2 linked regions of the Anolis sagrei genome follow. The protein of the gene in region 2 purifies or fractionates together with the protein of the main gene of each other region. This does not show direct contact. Links are inferred from orthologs where the notes say so. Each region holds a gene or a part of one and is shown on either strand. Other genes may lie near its edges.

What was found.
Region 1: the proteins of KBTBD8 (region 2) and PKN1 purify together in Homo sapiens (affinity purification with western blotting; 3 studies listed by BioGRID and IntAct, with this or other methods). This does not show direct contact. The link is inferred for Anolis sagrei from reciprocal best matches to the Homo sapiens genes KBTBD8 and PKN1.

The regions. Positions count from the first base shown.
Region 1 is NC_090022.1:128,247,718-128,255,136, reverse strand, and holds the start of PKN1 (serine/threonine-protein kinase N1), read right to left. Parts: upstream 3,084-7,419; 5' UTR 3,024-3,083; coding exon 2,979-3,023; intron 1-2,978. UniProt on the Homo sapiens protein: PKC-related serine/threonine-protein kinase involved in various processes such as regulation of the intermediate filaments of the actin cytoskeleton, cell migration, tumor cell invasion and transcription regulation.
Region 2 is NC_090022.1:36,115,711-36,123,163, reverse strand, and holds the start of KBTBD8 (kelch repeat and BTB domain-containing protein 8), read right to left. Parts: upstream 3,008-7,453; 5' UTR 1,953-3,007; coding exon 1,702-1,952; intron 126-1,701; coding exon 1-125. UniProt on the Homo sapiens protein: Substrate-specific adapter of a BCR (BTB-CUL3-RBX1) E3 ubiquitin ligase complex that acts as a regulator of neural crest specification.

The DNA of each region.
Region 1 (7,419 bases), about 92 Mb from region 2:
AAGTTAAGGATGAAAGTGCAAAAGCAGATTTGCAGCTGAATATTAAGAGAAAACATTAAAAGAATGGCCAAAGATTATTTAAATAACTTTGAAGTGGGTGATGAAAACACTGAAAGTGTTAAGTATTTTTAATACCTTGGCTCAATCATTAATTGGAATGGAAACTGTAGTCAAGCAATCACACGAAGACTAGAACTTAGAATAGCAGTTATGACAGAATCTGACTAAAATCTCAGATGCAAAGATATATTATTTAACACCAAAATCAGGATAATCCATGCAATATAGTTTCTGATTTCTGTGTTTGGATGTGAAGGAAGGTCAGTGGAATAAGCTGGCAAAAAGATCTGTTCATCTGAAATATGATGTTGTATCTGTTTCTGAATCCTTCTTTCTTACCCCAAACCAAGCATGGCGCCAACATTTTGGACAAATGGGGAGTTCTCTTTGTGCCTAGGCCACAAAGTTACCAAGCATCCCACAACCTCTCTCCCTCCCCCTGCCACCCTTAGGGAACTGGATAATTCCTCCCACACCCATCCCCACTTCCACATCTTCTGCACAGGAAGGATGGCTGAGCACATGTCTAATTCACCAAGAGCTGAGCCACACACTTGAGATCAAACATTTTTGCTGAGTACTTCCTATATTCATTGCAAAACGGTGAAGTGTTTAAAATTAGTGTTTTAATGACACTGTTTTAAACAGTTCCCCCCTTTGACAATTTACATAAAATATATGAATTATGTTTATTTAAAATCAGTCAGCCTGGCCCACTTGGTAGACTTAGACAAACCATTATTATCTCAGCCACCAATGTGAGTTTCGATAAAATAATATTTACCTATCTTGTACAGACATTATAAGAATAATTCATAATATTTTAAAAACAATGTCAACACTATAAGGCACTATACAAATGCTGAATACTATTTAATGCTTTTAGACTGCCAGCCATTGCATGGATATGCCTTTTGGAAAAGATGGAGTGGGCAGAGAAAGACATTAATCCAGAAATGTGTTGATATACCAGGAATGTGGGAATGAACTATCGCTGTTTAAAGAAGTCAACTTATACCGTAGTTAGCATTAAGCACAGTTTGTGATGTAGTTGATTTAAACCAGGTGTAAGAGCTTTGGTTCTCCTACTCACAACCATATCAGAAAAAGACCAGGATATGTGAGCCTGAGATTTGCTGAAATTGTTTCCTGCCACAGTGGATGTGATGCTATGTCTGAATGTGGCCAAGATCTTTGGGCAATAATAGTGAGGCGGTGCTATATTTCATTTACAGCCCAGTGTGCTTTCAATATATATAACGAAGGCCACAGCCTAAACCTATCAGATCCTTGTTGAGACTTGAGTAGGTCTTTGTCCCAAGCTGAACCCAATGCAGGGGCTTCAGTTGTAAAGTGTGTATTAATAGCAACTACGAACAGAGTTCCTGCAAGGACAAACAAAATTAAGGATTTCAAAAGAGTCCTTTGAAAATTATGACTGCGGCATATATACCACCATACGCTTCACAGGCGTAACTTAAGCAAGATGACAGGCCTGTGCCCTAGGGTGCTCTCTTGTTTGGGGTCTCAAATGCCTCATAGTCAGTAACGCAGTGTCTCCTTTCCCCAACTCATATGACATGACATCCCTTCCTCCACAGACACATCATCTACTGTTCACACTGCTGATGCTTCCAGCATTTACAGAGAGGCACTGTTTTTGCAGATCCAGACAGCATGTTGCCCACATATGTTCCAGAAGTGCTCCTTCTTGTGCATTACATACTGTATGGGCAACATGCAACCACTGCAGAGGCCTCTTCCATGGGCTGTGTGGTTACCCATGCTTCTGCTGAATGTCTTGCCAGCATCATGCCACTTGGTGGACTCTATTAATTAAAGGGGAGGATGGCACATAATTAAAGGGGAGAGTAGCAAATGGAGAAATATTAATTATGTTAGTTTATTTATATCTTGTTTCTCACCCATCCCACTACTGGAACTTAGGGAGCTTGCAACAATTAAAATAGACATACATGTAAGCACATACCAATAAAAAAATGTAAGCCTTCAAAGTCTAATTAATCCAGGACAGTCAATATGGTTGAAGTCTGCATATTGGACTGATGGTTCTAGTCCAATATTACTGGATGACCAAGTCACACTTTCTCTGCCTAAGGCAGTGGTTCTCAACCTGTGGGTCCCCAGGTATTTTGGCCTACAACTCCCAGAAATCCTAGCCAGTTTATCAGCTGTTAGGATTTCTGGGAGTTGAAGGCCAAAACATCTGGAGACCCACAAGTTGAGAACCACTGGCCTAAGGAGAAGGCAATGGCATCTCCCTCTCTGCTGAACAAATCTCACCAAGAAAATGCCCTGATAGGTTTGCCTTAGTGTCACCATATGTCAGAAACAACTTGAAGGCACACAAAAGCAACAAATAATAAGACCATCAATGTAACAACAACAACAACAATCTTCATTTTTCCATGCTGGAACTGAAAAACGTGTGTGTTTATATGTGTGTGTGTAGTCCAACAAACTGTCCATTACCATTATCATTACCATGCTTATGCCTTGTAGGGAAAAACAGCTGCCTACCTTTGTTTACTGTTGCATATGCCTTGTAGTTTTTTTTCCTGATTGCTCTCTACAATGCCCAGGGGATTGTGAACAGGCATCTCCTATGTATACAGACAACTGCACATAAGGGTAAGTTGCAACATGTTGATAAGGCAACCCAATTCTAAAACCACAAATGGAATTAAATGCAAGCATCCAGATTTCACACATATTCCTCCAAATATAATTATCCATTTAGACTAGGATTCAGGCCCACTTTACAGCCGTATTGATTTATGATGTATCATAAGATTGTTTTCTGCACATTGCCCCCCCCCCCACCAACTGTTCAAGAGGGAGGGAGGGGCAGTTAATAGCACAGCCCTCTGCTATGAATCCCTTCCAAAAGGCAGTACCTCCAACTCATGCTCAGAATTTGTATCAGGCTCCGAGAAAGACATCCTGGCCCGTGGAGAGGCTCAGCAGCGATCGCCAGTCCCTTCTGCTCCCAACTGCGTGCCGGCTACACCCTCATTTCCTGCCTGTAGATTCAAACCGTTCTTTTGGCCTGTGTGCAAACAAACCACTTCCTTACAGAGTTCCTGCATTTGCTGGCAATACCGGAACCCAGGCTAACTGAAGGGAGCAACCACGGGGCCTATGTGCCCCCTGCTGACTTTCCAAACGCCATCCCTTCAACCTCCAGAGTGAATTTGAAAGGGGAAACCAAATCTAAACATTACAGAAGGGAAATACTTTTATTTGGACCAATCGAAACATAATAATATACTGTACAACTGTTGAGTCCACCAGAACTTCATTCAGCTGGAAGTAACACAAAAGAGTAACAGATAGTTGGGACATGATGATGAAGCTGCCATTTATAACACTTACATTGCAGAACCTAGGTTTTACAGAACACGTGTGTCAGATTTAATTGCATTAGACTGTACAAGAGGGGCGGGCTATTGCCAAAACTACTAAACATGCAAGCAAACAAAAAAAACTTTGTTCTGAAAAATTTGGGGTATTAAACAAGTATATGTGTGAGTGATTTCCGGAGAAGCAAAGAACCTTTTTGCCAGAAGAAGATCAGGAGTGCAAGATAGTTAAGAAGTGCTGAAATGGTGTGTGTGTGATATGTGAGCCGATGTGTACTCTACTGGATTGGATTCAGAGAGAATGAGCAAAGAATAATGTGTTAGAAGAAGAAATGTATTTTTCTCTTTACTAGTTATAAGACAGGAGAAAAGGAGTACTAGAAGATGGGTGCCTTAGACTCAGGCCAGCTGGCAGACTGTATCTTCCGTATGAGCCTGTCCAGGTCCTGAGATCCTGAAGTGAGCCTCTTCTTTTGACCCCCCCCCCCCTCACCTTCCTAAAATGGGCCCCTCCTGGCAGTCCTTTTGTTGGCAGGTAAATCCTCTTCTATTCTGGCAGGTGTTTGAAAATTAAAGGTTTCAAAAAGAAGGGCTTTTAAGAGGGCATTGTACTGTTTGAACCGTACTGCTGTTGCATTGCTTTTAACATTTTAATTGCATCTTTTCAATTGTTTTTAGTGTGGTTAATAGTTTTGTTTCACATTGTTGTTGTTTTTTAAGATTGTAGCTATGCTGTATTTGTTTTCATTTGTAAGCTGCCTTGAGTGCTGGTTTTGAGGAAAGTGTGGGGTAGAAACAAAAGTTGTGGTGATGGTGCTGATGATGATGGTAAGAAAAATGCCAACAATATGTGAAAGTGAGATCCTTACAATACTGGCCAGATAAAGTAAGAACAGGAGCATAGTTACAGTATAAGCAAAGGCTGATATTTAATATCCTGCAAGTAATGGAACTACAAAACGACATATATCTGCAGGACCACTTCTTGGGGTTTTGTCTGCCGCCAACAAAATATGCCCTCTCTAGGAATTTTCTAGATCCTCTAGGGCAGTGGTTCTCAACCTGTGGATCCCCAGATGTTTTTGCCTTCAACTCCCAGAAATCCTAACAGCTGGGGAACTGGCTATGTTCTCTGGAAGTTGTAGGCCAACACACCTGGGGACCCACAGGTTGAGAACCATTGCTCTAGGGTGTCTCCATGGTAAGTTCCATTGGCAATCATTAATTTTAATAGGGTTCAATCCACGGTTTCCTATTTAAATGGTAAATTTAGAAATGCAACCCCCTTGATGTGTCATATTGTAATTTATGCAGATGAAATGGCTACCAGTACTTTGTAACTTGCTTGAGCATTCAGATAAAGGCACTTAGTAAAAGATGAAAAACATTCTGAGAACAAAGGTATTGCAAAACAAGATACCTTTTTGGTCACTTACTTCTGTAGCTGACCATGCCTAACAATCTTTGAGGCTGTTGCCTTGTCTTAACAGACTGCCACTAAGGGCCCTTCTACACAGCACCTTAAACACGGCATTTACTGGGTTAAAAGGGGGTGGCTACATGAGACTACATGTAAATCAGCACCGATTCATTGCAACAGACTAAAAATACAGGTTAGAAAGGCCCTCTTTTATACCAATACTGGCCGGCAAATGCAGATATTCGCATTACTGTATATCCCTGCACTTGCGAAAAACACGTACTTTCTTTCTGTCTTCCCTGTTTCACATGTCCACTTTTAAAAAGCCCGAAACAGCTGATCAGTGCATTGAGCTGTGAAATGGATACACAGCTGCTATAAAGGAAGCATGAACTGAGAGCAATTAGAACCCTCTAAAACTCTTTATTTCAAACTTTGAAATGTTAAACAGAGCTTGAAAAAACAATTGGAGGAAGGGAGAAATCTGACAGAAGGGGTTTTGTTATGTGATAAACCTCATATACACACATACAAATCTGCTTATATTTATATTAAGATATTTGCACGGGCACATAATTGCATGTACGGTCCAGCGCATAATGGAGTAATTTTTTTAAAAAACCCTTCTGTCCCTCTCCATCTTGTTCTGATACAGAGGATGGCCGTGAAGAAGGCAGGGGAAACAGTACCAGGACTAACAGGTCTGTGTGGGAATCTGCAGTCAGGTTCTGGCATTTTTTAATTCCCATTTAAACCCGTATTTTTGTAATGTCTGGAAGCACCCTAATTCAACTCCTACAGAAGCCCATTGATAAGATAACACAGGTTTTTAGGGTACATTTTAAACAAAAAATAGCTTGATGCTTAGTCACATATATACATTAATCCAATTCTGCAGAAGCAGTACAGAATGACTTCTTCTTCTTCTTTGTAACTAAGTCATTAGGAACTTCCCCTGTAAGTTTTCAATTTCCAACATAGAAGCTCCTAGCTCAGTTTTGAGCAAGGATAAAGTTTAGTTCAATACATTGATTCTTGATGGGTAATCTCACAATAGAATAACAACCCCCAAACAACATTGTAAAAAGATGGGTTCACATTTAAAATTGTATGGCTTTTTAAAAGGCCACTGTTAAGGACTATTCAGTAGAAAAAGACAAAGCATGGGCCTACATAAAATACCAATTCCTCATCTGCATCCCAGATGTAGCTGCACCTCTTGCCCAAGTAAAAATACACCTAGATTTGGGATCTTGAGGAAGACCATGCATCATTCAAAATATTCTACTAGCAAATGGGCTTTGATAGTGGTGGGGATGGTGACAAAATAGAAGGATGGGAACTACCACATATACTTTTTAATTAAATAGACACGTATGAGATGTCCTCCTACAGTGTCAGGAAAAAAAACACAGGCTCATTTCCTCTCTGAAGTGCCTTTCCATATCCCAAAGGGACTGATGAGAGACTCTAATATGTTATCCTCCACCTGTGCTCTTATTTGGAAGGAAATAAACCCTGTGCAGGCCCTTGAATGTGGCACAACTCCCTGGTGAAAATCGTCCCCCAACAGTGGTAAATACAGCACAGACAGAGAGCAGCTGGAGGAATGGATCTTTAATGTGGCATTGATCCAGAGCCCCAATCCAGTTCAGGAGTCCATTCCAGATTGGGGCCCTATGTCACTGCTTTAAAAAATCACACTCACTTTAAGCATGTTTTAATAAAAACAATTAATTATACTACAAAGTGAATATAGAATTTACAGCTATCTTGGTCGCAGTGGCAGAAAAACTGCTGAAGTCATGTGACACCATTAAGTAAAAGGAAAGCTCTGGATTACTGTCACAAAGGTAAAGCAGAGATACCTTTCTGAGGTGCATCCCAATAGGCCACGTTTAAATATCCTATGGAAATATGGCAGGGAATAAAAGGAACTACCGGTATGGCTCTTTCAGCTCAGCCTTGTTGCAGTCTGATGTGTACATGTCCTGCTACCTCACTCAACTCTGCCTGGAATCAGTCCAGGTCACAGTCTCAACAGCCTCAGTACTTGCTCTGGACACCTCTTGATGCAATGCAGGAAACGGAGCGGTTGCTGACTCACGCCACTTCCTTCAGCACTGCCCCTAACATAATACTGCAGAGCTTACGACCACACAGAGACCAGAAAAAGCGGGGATCTATTTTGCTGTTGCTGCAGATGCACATTTGAAGACGACACTATGCAGCAGAAAACTAAAGCTTTGGTCCACTCTGCCTTGTGCTTTTTTCATATGCCTTGGACTTAAAAGAAAAGCTATGTGTCTGGGACAGTCACTGAATCCCTGCCTGAAGGTCGAGATGATGTATACAAGGGAAGTTGAACACATGCTCTCCACTGCCCATTTTTCACACTACTACTTGTTGATTTTCAAAATTATTACACTATGTAACATGATTTTTGCTCCTCAGTTATAAATGTCATTTCCTAATTGGTTCTATCATAAAAACATGGGAAAAGCTTTTAGTTTTTCAATGAATATCTCACTGAGTCTCAAGCAATTCAACATAGTT
Region 2 (7,453 bases):
CCTCTGTCAGTGTTACTCTGGAGGTATATGCATAGTTCAGTACTAAATGCATGGACTCTGCTTCAACACCAACTATCCGAACTTCCTTCTGGGTACTCTCAGTAAGGCCACTAGTGAACATTGATCTACAAAAAGAAGATGTACGCAGTCACTTATAAAGTTTTGTTAATAAGTCAACATTAAGCCTAAACGTTTTATCAGTAGGTTGTGCTGAAACAAGGCTCATTTTTGAAATCCTTTTACAGTCAGCCCTGTACATCTGTTGGGGTTAGGGAAATAAGATCCACACAAAAGTGAAAAACGGCAAATAAAGAAATTCCATTACCTTTTACCTGAGTGAACACCTCTCTACAAATGTCTAGGGCTTCCAGCACAATTCTAGGGTCAATTTCCTCTGGAAGCTGACAATAGCAATGCACTGGAGAAACCAGAGATTACTAGAGAGGTGCTCTCCCTAGAAATCTCTAGATCCTCCAACATGACTGAAGGAAAGTGACTACAGAGTCATATTGGGAGACCAGAGATTCCTAGAGAGAGCGTTTATAACCAAAGCCATGTATATTCAAATCCACAAATGTGGAGGGAATTAATGTGCTGCCATTGCAGTCAATGTTATTCAGACAATTTAAAGTAATTGTAATTTTGTTCACCCATCCCGCAATGAGCTTTTACTATAATCATCAATAGCAGATGACTGTCACGCTAATTTGCACATATATTACCTACTACTTAGGATATAGATTGCAACATGTAAGGTGAGTTTGCTAACCACCTGAGAGAAATTGCCTGCTTATGATGAGCTGCCTACATGGCTACATGGCACGCTAATTAGTTTGTGGCTATGTTTACCTGCACAATGTGGCAACCTAACATCAGATAGCTAAGAAAGTTCATCAAGCTGAATATATGCCAAAATCAAACACATAAGAGCATATCTATACTAGCAAGCAGGTGTAGCTCAATGAGTGATATACAAAATGGTACATGAGAGTAGAATTAATTCACAGCATATCTGCCCAGGTTTTTACAATGACCAGTTGGATGAGCTCTGATGCAATGAGAGTAACTCACAATACTTGAAAGAACCTTCCTTTTTGCAATTTTCTTCCCACTGAAAATAAGCCTATTTTTTTAATCTTTGGAGTAAGTAAGAATAAATTGTTGAAAAAGGAACTAATACTCTGGAAAAAAAACACCTTGAAGAAAGAGCTAGCAATTGTAATTAAACTGTATACAGACTGTCCCTGGTAAGCCAATGTTTGAAACAGCACATTAATCAGCACAAATAACAGGACGAGATCGTGATAAAGAGCAGACTTAACCATCTACATACTCCCCAGGATCTCAAAAGCTTAGAACAAGAAAGGACTCTTCTCCATATCTTACTACAAACAGCAAATGTAAGTGCAGTATAACCAATTCTTCCAGGGAAAAAGAAATGGGATTTGTTGTTGCTTAGGATTTGCACTGCTACAAATCCTAAGCAACAACATGACACAGTATGAGAACCTGATGTCTCATACTGCGATCAATGAAGCAAACCGATAAAGATGGTAACTATGGCTGTCCAACTTTGAATATAAAGTGGAAATATTATCCTGTTTACTTCAGAATCTGTGGCTGATGTGTGGAACCTATAATACCAACTATTATAAAATGCATTTTATCAAAGTAATGGTCTAGTTATGGATTGCAATATACCTGAAATAAGGACTGATTGCAGCAAGAACGTTCCGATGACAGGAAAAGGTTTTCCCATGATCCACTTGCACAACAATATCTATTAGCTGCCCTTCATCATACATAGTTTTGAGCTGCTGGAGAATGCTGCAAGCATGGGAAGGATCCATTCCACCACTGGCTGGGGGGCTTGAGGAAGGAGTTACGTTCAATGTTTGTGAAAACTTGCTTTGTTCTGGTGAAATAAATGAAATAAACTTAGCATGCAACATAAGGAAAAGTTACAGTTGACAAATGGATCAAGAAGAAAGTCATATTTCACAGGTTGTAACCACTGGAAGCCATTCTTGATTACAGAGGGATCGTAAAATATGCCAGCTGATATTAAGATTTCTTCCCAGGGTTTCCCACAGACTACATGACATACTAGCCTGAAGCAGATTCACCTTATATCTTTTTTCATCAATCTACTTGAGGCAAATGCCTACACAGAAACTAAGACCCAAAAATAAAATATTACACTGAAAAAAAAATCAGCTATTGGTCATGGAAACAAAGATTAAATACCATAGGCTAAATCTAATGTTAGACCCACTGAAATCAGTGGGATGTATTTGAGTGGTTGACTAACAAGGGCTAGCTATTTCAATGGGCTAACTCTATCTGGAATTAAGATTGATTTTGGCCTCTTACCCTATCCTGGAATTGCTTTGCTCTACACTTAGACGTTAATCAAGTGTTGCTATTTCTCCAAGTTCCAACAATACCAAATATGATGATAACCCATCATATAAACCACTGCTTACGTTAACTAATTTGCTACTAAAGCCATAACCCCAAACAGACAACACAACCATGGCTTGTCTTTTCCAGGTCTCATTTGTTTGTCTCATAACAACTGTCAACTCCTGTTTATGTGATGGGAAATATGGAAACAGCTACGGTCAAGTCCTGGCTGTGGATCTGGATACAACAAGTCATCATTTGCTGTTGTGTGCCATGTCCAGAGCTTGGTTTATGGCTGATTGATTACAAACAGTGGCAGGTTTGCAAATGGAACAAGCTGGATTTTAGCAAATGACACCAAGGCGTTGTAACAGGGCAATCTCTACAAGAGCAGCATGCTCCCCGGCATGCTACTAATTAAAGAAAGGGAGAGAAAAAAGATAGGGGTAGGATGCAGACAAGAAAGAGGGTAATTCTGAACCATACAGAGTAGCCAGTAGTGGGTCACCTTCACTGCACAACTACCAAATTCAGTATAAGTCAACCCCATTTTGAGGACAGATTTGGTGGCCAGAATTATGGATTTTGCTACAATATACACATTTACCTGTTGATAAATTGACCCAGATTTTGGGGTTGATTTTTTGAGTAAAATTTTGAGTATATAGGGCACATTACAATAGCTCAGCTCAAAGACAGTTCAGATAATTCCTCATCATCCTGTCACTGAAAATAAATTAAAACATTTAGTTACAAGTTTGGAAGCAATTTAAAAATAACTATTCTCATATCTTAAATACCAAGCAACAGTAGATGAATTTTCACATGCTTTGACATAAGTACCCTAGTTTCAAAATTAACACCTTATTCACATTTTATATTCATGTTTTGAACTTTACTCAATTGCCTACTATGAGAAGCCAATCTGTATTGAGCAAGAAGATTTGCTGTTCAACCTTCTGTACACCACAAGCTAGCAACCAAAGCTGGTAAAACTTTACAAGGCCTGCTTAGTATTTCACCTTTTATCATCATAGCAGAAATATGCTAATTTATGTAATCAAATGACAAAAAACAACACATAGGGGTACATCATGTACTCCAGCTGTCATGATTTGTGACAGGATTGAAAATATCCCTGACATAATTACATTCCATCCAATTGTCTTAGAAATTATGTCTCAGCTATTAACACAGAATGAGAAAAAAAAACTAAGTCTAAATAGTTTGCAAGGAGTTCCTGGTAAAATGATAACTAGAAGCCCTTGAAATATAAAGCTTGCCTTGTTAAAGCAAGCAAACAAGCAGCATTTCCAGAAGTGGGACAATGAGGTGTCTGAAAGCGCTAGAAATCAGGTAACTGAGCAAGCTGGAAAAACACCTTAACTGGATCCTAACTGGGAAAACTCCTGCTTCAACCATACTGCCTGTGAATTCTTTATAAACCTACTCTAGTCATCCACTCAAACGTTTCTATCTTTTAATGCTGGAAATTGACAGGACCTTTGAGACTGAGGGGACATGTACACTATATAATGCAGTTTGACACCACTTAACTGCCATAACTCAATCCTATGGAAACCTAGGAGCTTTAGTTTTACAAGGACTTTAACTTTCTCTGACAAAATGGGCAAGTGCCTCACCAAACTTCAACTTCCATGGGTCCTTAGCATTAAACCACGAGGCAACAACATTGAGATATGGCAGTTAAAGGGGTGCAAAACTGCATTAATTCTACAATGTAGTTGCCCCCGGAGATTTAAAAAAAGTTGTTAGCACCCCTTTCTTACATAAATAGTTATTTTGGGGTTGAATACATCTATGGCAGGAACTCTCATTCTAGTCTCCTTGTTTTTTTCCTTAATAACACAAAGGGGAAGACCCCAATGTCAACATATATGAGAAACAAAAATGGAGAAAGAACTTGTTCCTGTTTAGCAAAAATGTTCAGTCTTGCACACATTTGAATTTAATCCATTGAGGATACAATTTTACACAAGCTCAGCACAAGAAAACATCACCAAATGTAAAACTGTAGATAAGACTTGTATGGCAAAAATTTGTTAATTGAATGGCTGTATGAACTAAAATTAAAAAAAAATTGAAACATAACCCCATATGCGTTTACTCAGAAACAAGTTCCTGTAGCTCCATATTATTCCTCTATCAATGTTTTTAGGATTATTGTCTTATTCCTGAGCAAATCTATTAAGGAACAATAAAATATGCTTATCTTAGGAACAGATGTATTAACACAAAAATGATCAAACATTCATATGCAGGCCTAAATCCTCTTTTAGTCCAAACTAAGTAGACACAATGAATCCGTTAAATGTATCTCTGTGTTGACTCAAAATTTAACAATTGAATGAATGGGCTGTTTTGAGTCCCCTTTGGGGGAGATAAAGCAGGATATAAATAAATAAATTAAAAAAATCAATATAATAATAATGATGATGATGATGATGATAATGGGTCTGCTCTAGTTGAGACTACCAACAGGATGAAAGCCGTAGCGAGTCAATAAACCAAATCACAACCTGTCAACCTGTACTGGGGAGTAACTTTTTAAAAGAGTTAATCATCTCCAAAAACAGTAATTTAACAAATGCTAAAATATCAATAGGCCCCTCAATCCATGGGTTTTAACTCAATTAATACAAACCACCAATAAGCCCAATTGAACCTGTCAACATATACAGGGGGAAGAGAGGAGTTGCATTGCATTTCCCCCCTCTCCCTAGGATACATATATCCTTAAAAGGATTTAAAGATTCAAATGGTAGAGAGGTAGCTTGAAATTAAAACGTAAACTTTTGAGAGAGGTTTACAATTATGTGATCAACAAAGCATGCTGTGCATTACTAAGCAGAGGCGACAATTTGAACAATAGCAACTGAAGATATACTCTGAAATCCAGATTAAATCAGAAGTATAACATTTATTCTTGAAAATAAATGCATTTACTTAGCCTTTAAATAATCACCATAGCTACTATTAACTATTAAAGGGTATGTATATGTGTGTATGCATACACAATATATATATACACATACATATAAAAATAGACACACAAATATATACAAATATACACACATATATGCAAATATATATATATATATATACACACATGTATACACACATATATACATACACACATATAGGATACAAATATATACATATCTACACACATATCTATATGCATAGATACATATATAAAATTTATACATGCATATCTACACAAATACGAGTGCATATATAAATACACACATAGTATACAAATATATATATATATATGCACACATATCTTTATGCATAAACAGATATATATATATATATACACATGTCTGCTGCTCGCACATATATTAACACACATAGACAAAAACCTGTATAAATATATATACACACATCTATGTATAAGCATACACACATCTATGTATGTATAAGCATACACACATCTATAAATATATACATTTACAAATATTTATAGACATATGAACATGAATATAAATTCACAAATATATACATATATCTAAAATACATGTACACACATATCTATTTATCACACACATCTATACTCACATATATAAATACATATATTTACATACACACATCTCTCTATACATACACACATATAAATATCTATAAATACATATATGTCTACACATACACATATACTCTCCCACACATATATGAGATATATAAATATATATATTTACATACATACCTCTACACACACCCAAATATATACATAAATAAACATGTCTACACAAACATACACATATACTCACACACATGTTTATACACACTCATTCATATATATATATATATATATATATATATATACACACACACACACACATATATATACATATATTTGCATACACACATATCTGTAGAGCAGAGGTTCTCAAACTAAGGCCCAGGGTCCGAATGTGGCCCTCCAAGGTCATTTACCCGGCCCTCTCTCAGGTTCAACCTAAGTCTGAAACTACTTGAAAGCACACAACAACAACAACAACAACAATGCTATCTCATCAGGCAAAAGCAGGCCAACGCTTCCCATTGTAATACTAATAAGTTTATATTTGTTAAAATTGTTCTTCATTTTAATTATTGTATTGTTTTCAGCAGGTTTTTTTGCACTACAAACAAGATATGTGCAGTGTGCATAGGAAATGATTCATATCTTTTTCAAATTATAATCCGGCCCTCCAACAGTTTGAGGACTGTGAAGTGGCCCTCTGTTTAAAAAGTTTGAGGACCCCTGCTGTAGTGTTCCCTCACTTATCATGGGGGTTCTGTTCCAGGACCACTCACAATAAATGAAAGTCCGTGAAGTAGGGACACCATATTAATTTTAATATTTATATATTATTTTATATATTTTATATATTATTTTCTTACCCGTGCTTCCTTACCCACCTCCTGGCCCAACCCAAGGGCACTTGCCTGCCTCCTTGGCCTCCGCAGAGCCTCCGGAGCTATGCAGGCAGCAGCAGGCCAGGGAGGCAGGCCTTCCCCGCCGCGCCTCAGGCCTCTGCACTTCCGGGGTCTGTGGAGGCCAGGGAGGCAGGCCTTCCCCACCACTCCTCAGGCCGCCACACTTCCAGGGTATGTGGAGGTCAGGTAGGCAGTCCTTCCCCGCCACGCCTCAGGCCGCCACATTTCCAGGGTATGTGGAGGTCAGGTAGGCAGTCCTTCCCCGCCGCACCTCAGGCCTCTGCACTTCCGGGGTCCCTGGCCTCCACTGAACATAAATATTTAATATTTTTATTAATATTTTCAAAACCCCGCGAAAGAGCGAGTCTGCTAAAAGCGAACCGCAAAGTAGCGAGGGAACACTGTGTATACGCACATATACATATCTATAAATACGCATGTCTACAGAAACATACACATATACTCACACACGTACGTTTATACACACACATAAATGTAAATACATATATTTACACCCACAATTCCATCGTAGGTGGAGTTCAGAATGCTCTTTGATTGTAAGCTAACTATAAATCCCAGCAACTACAACTCCCAAATGACAAAA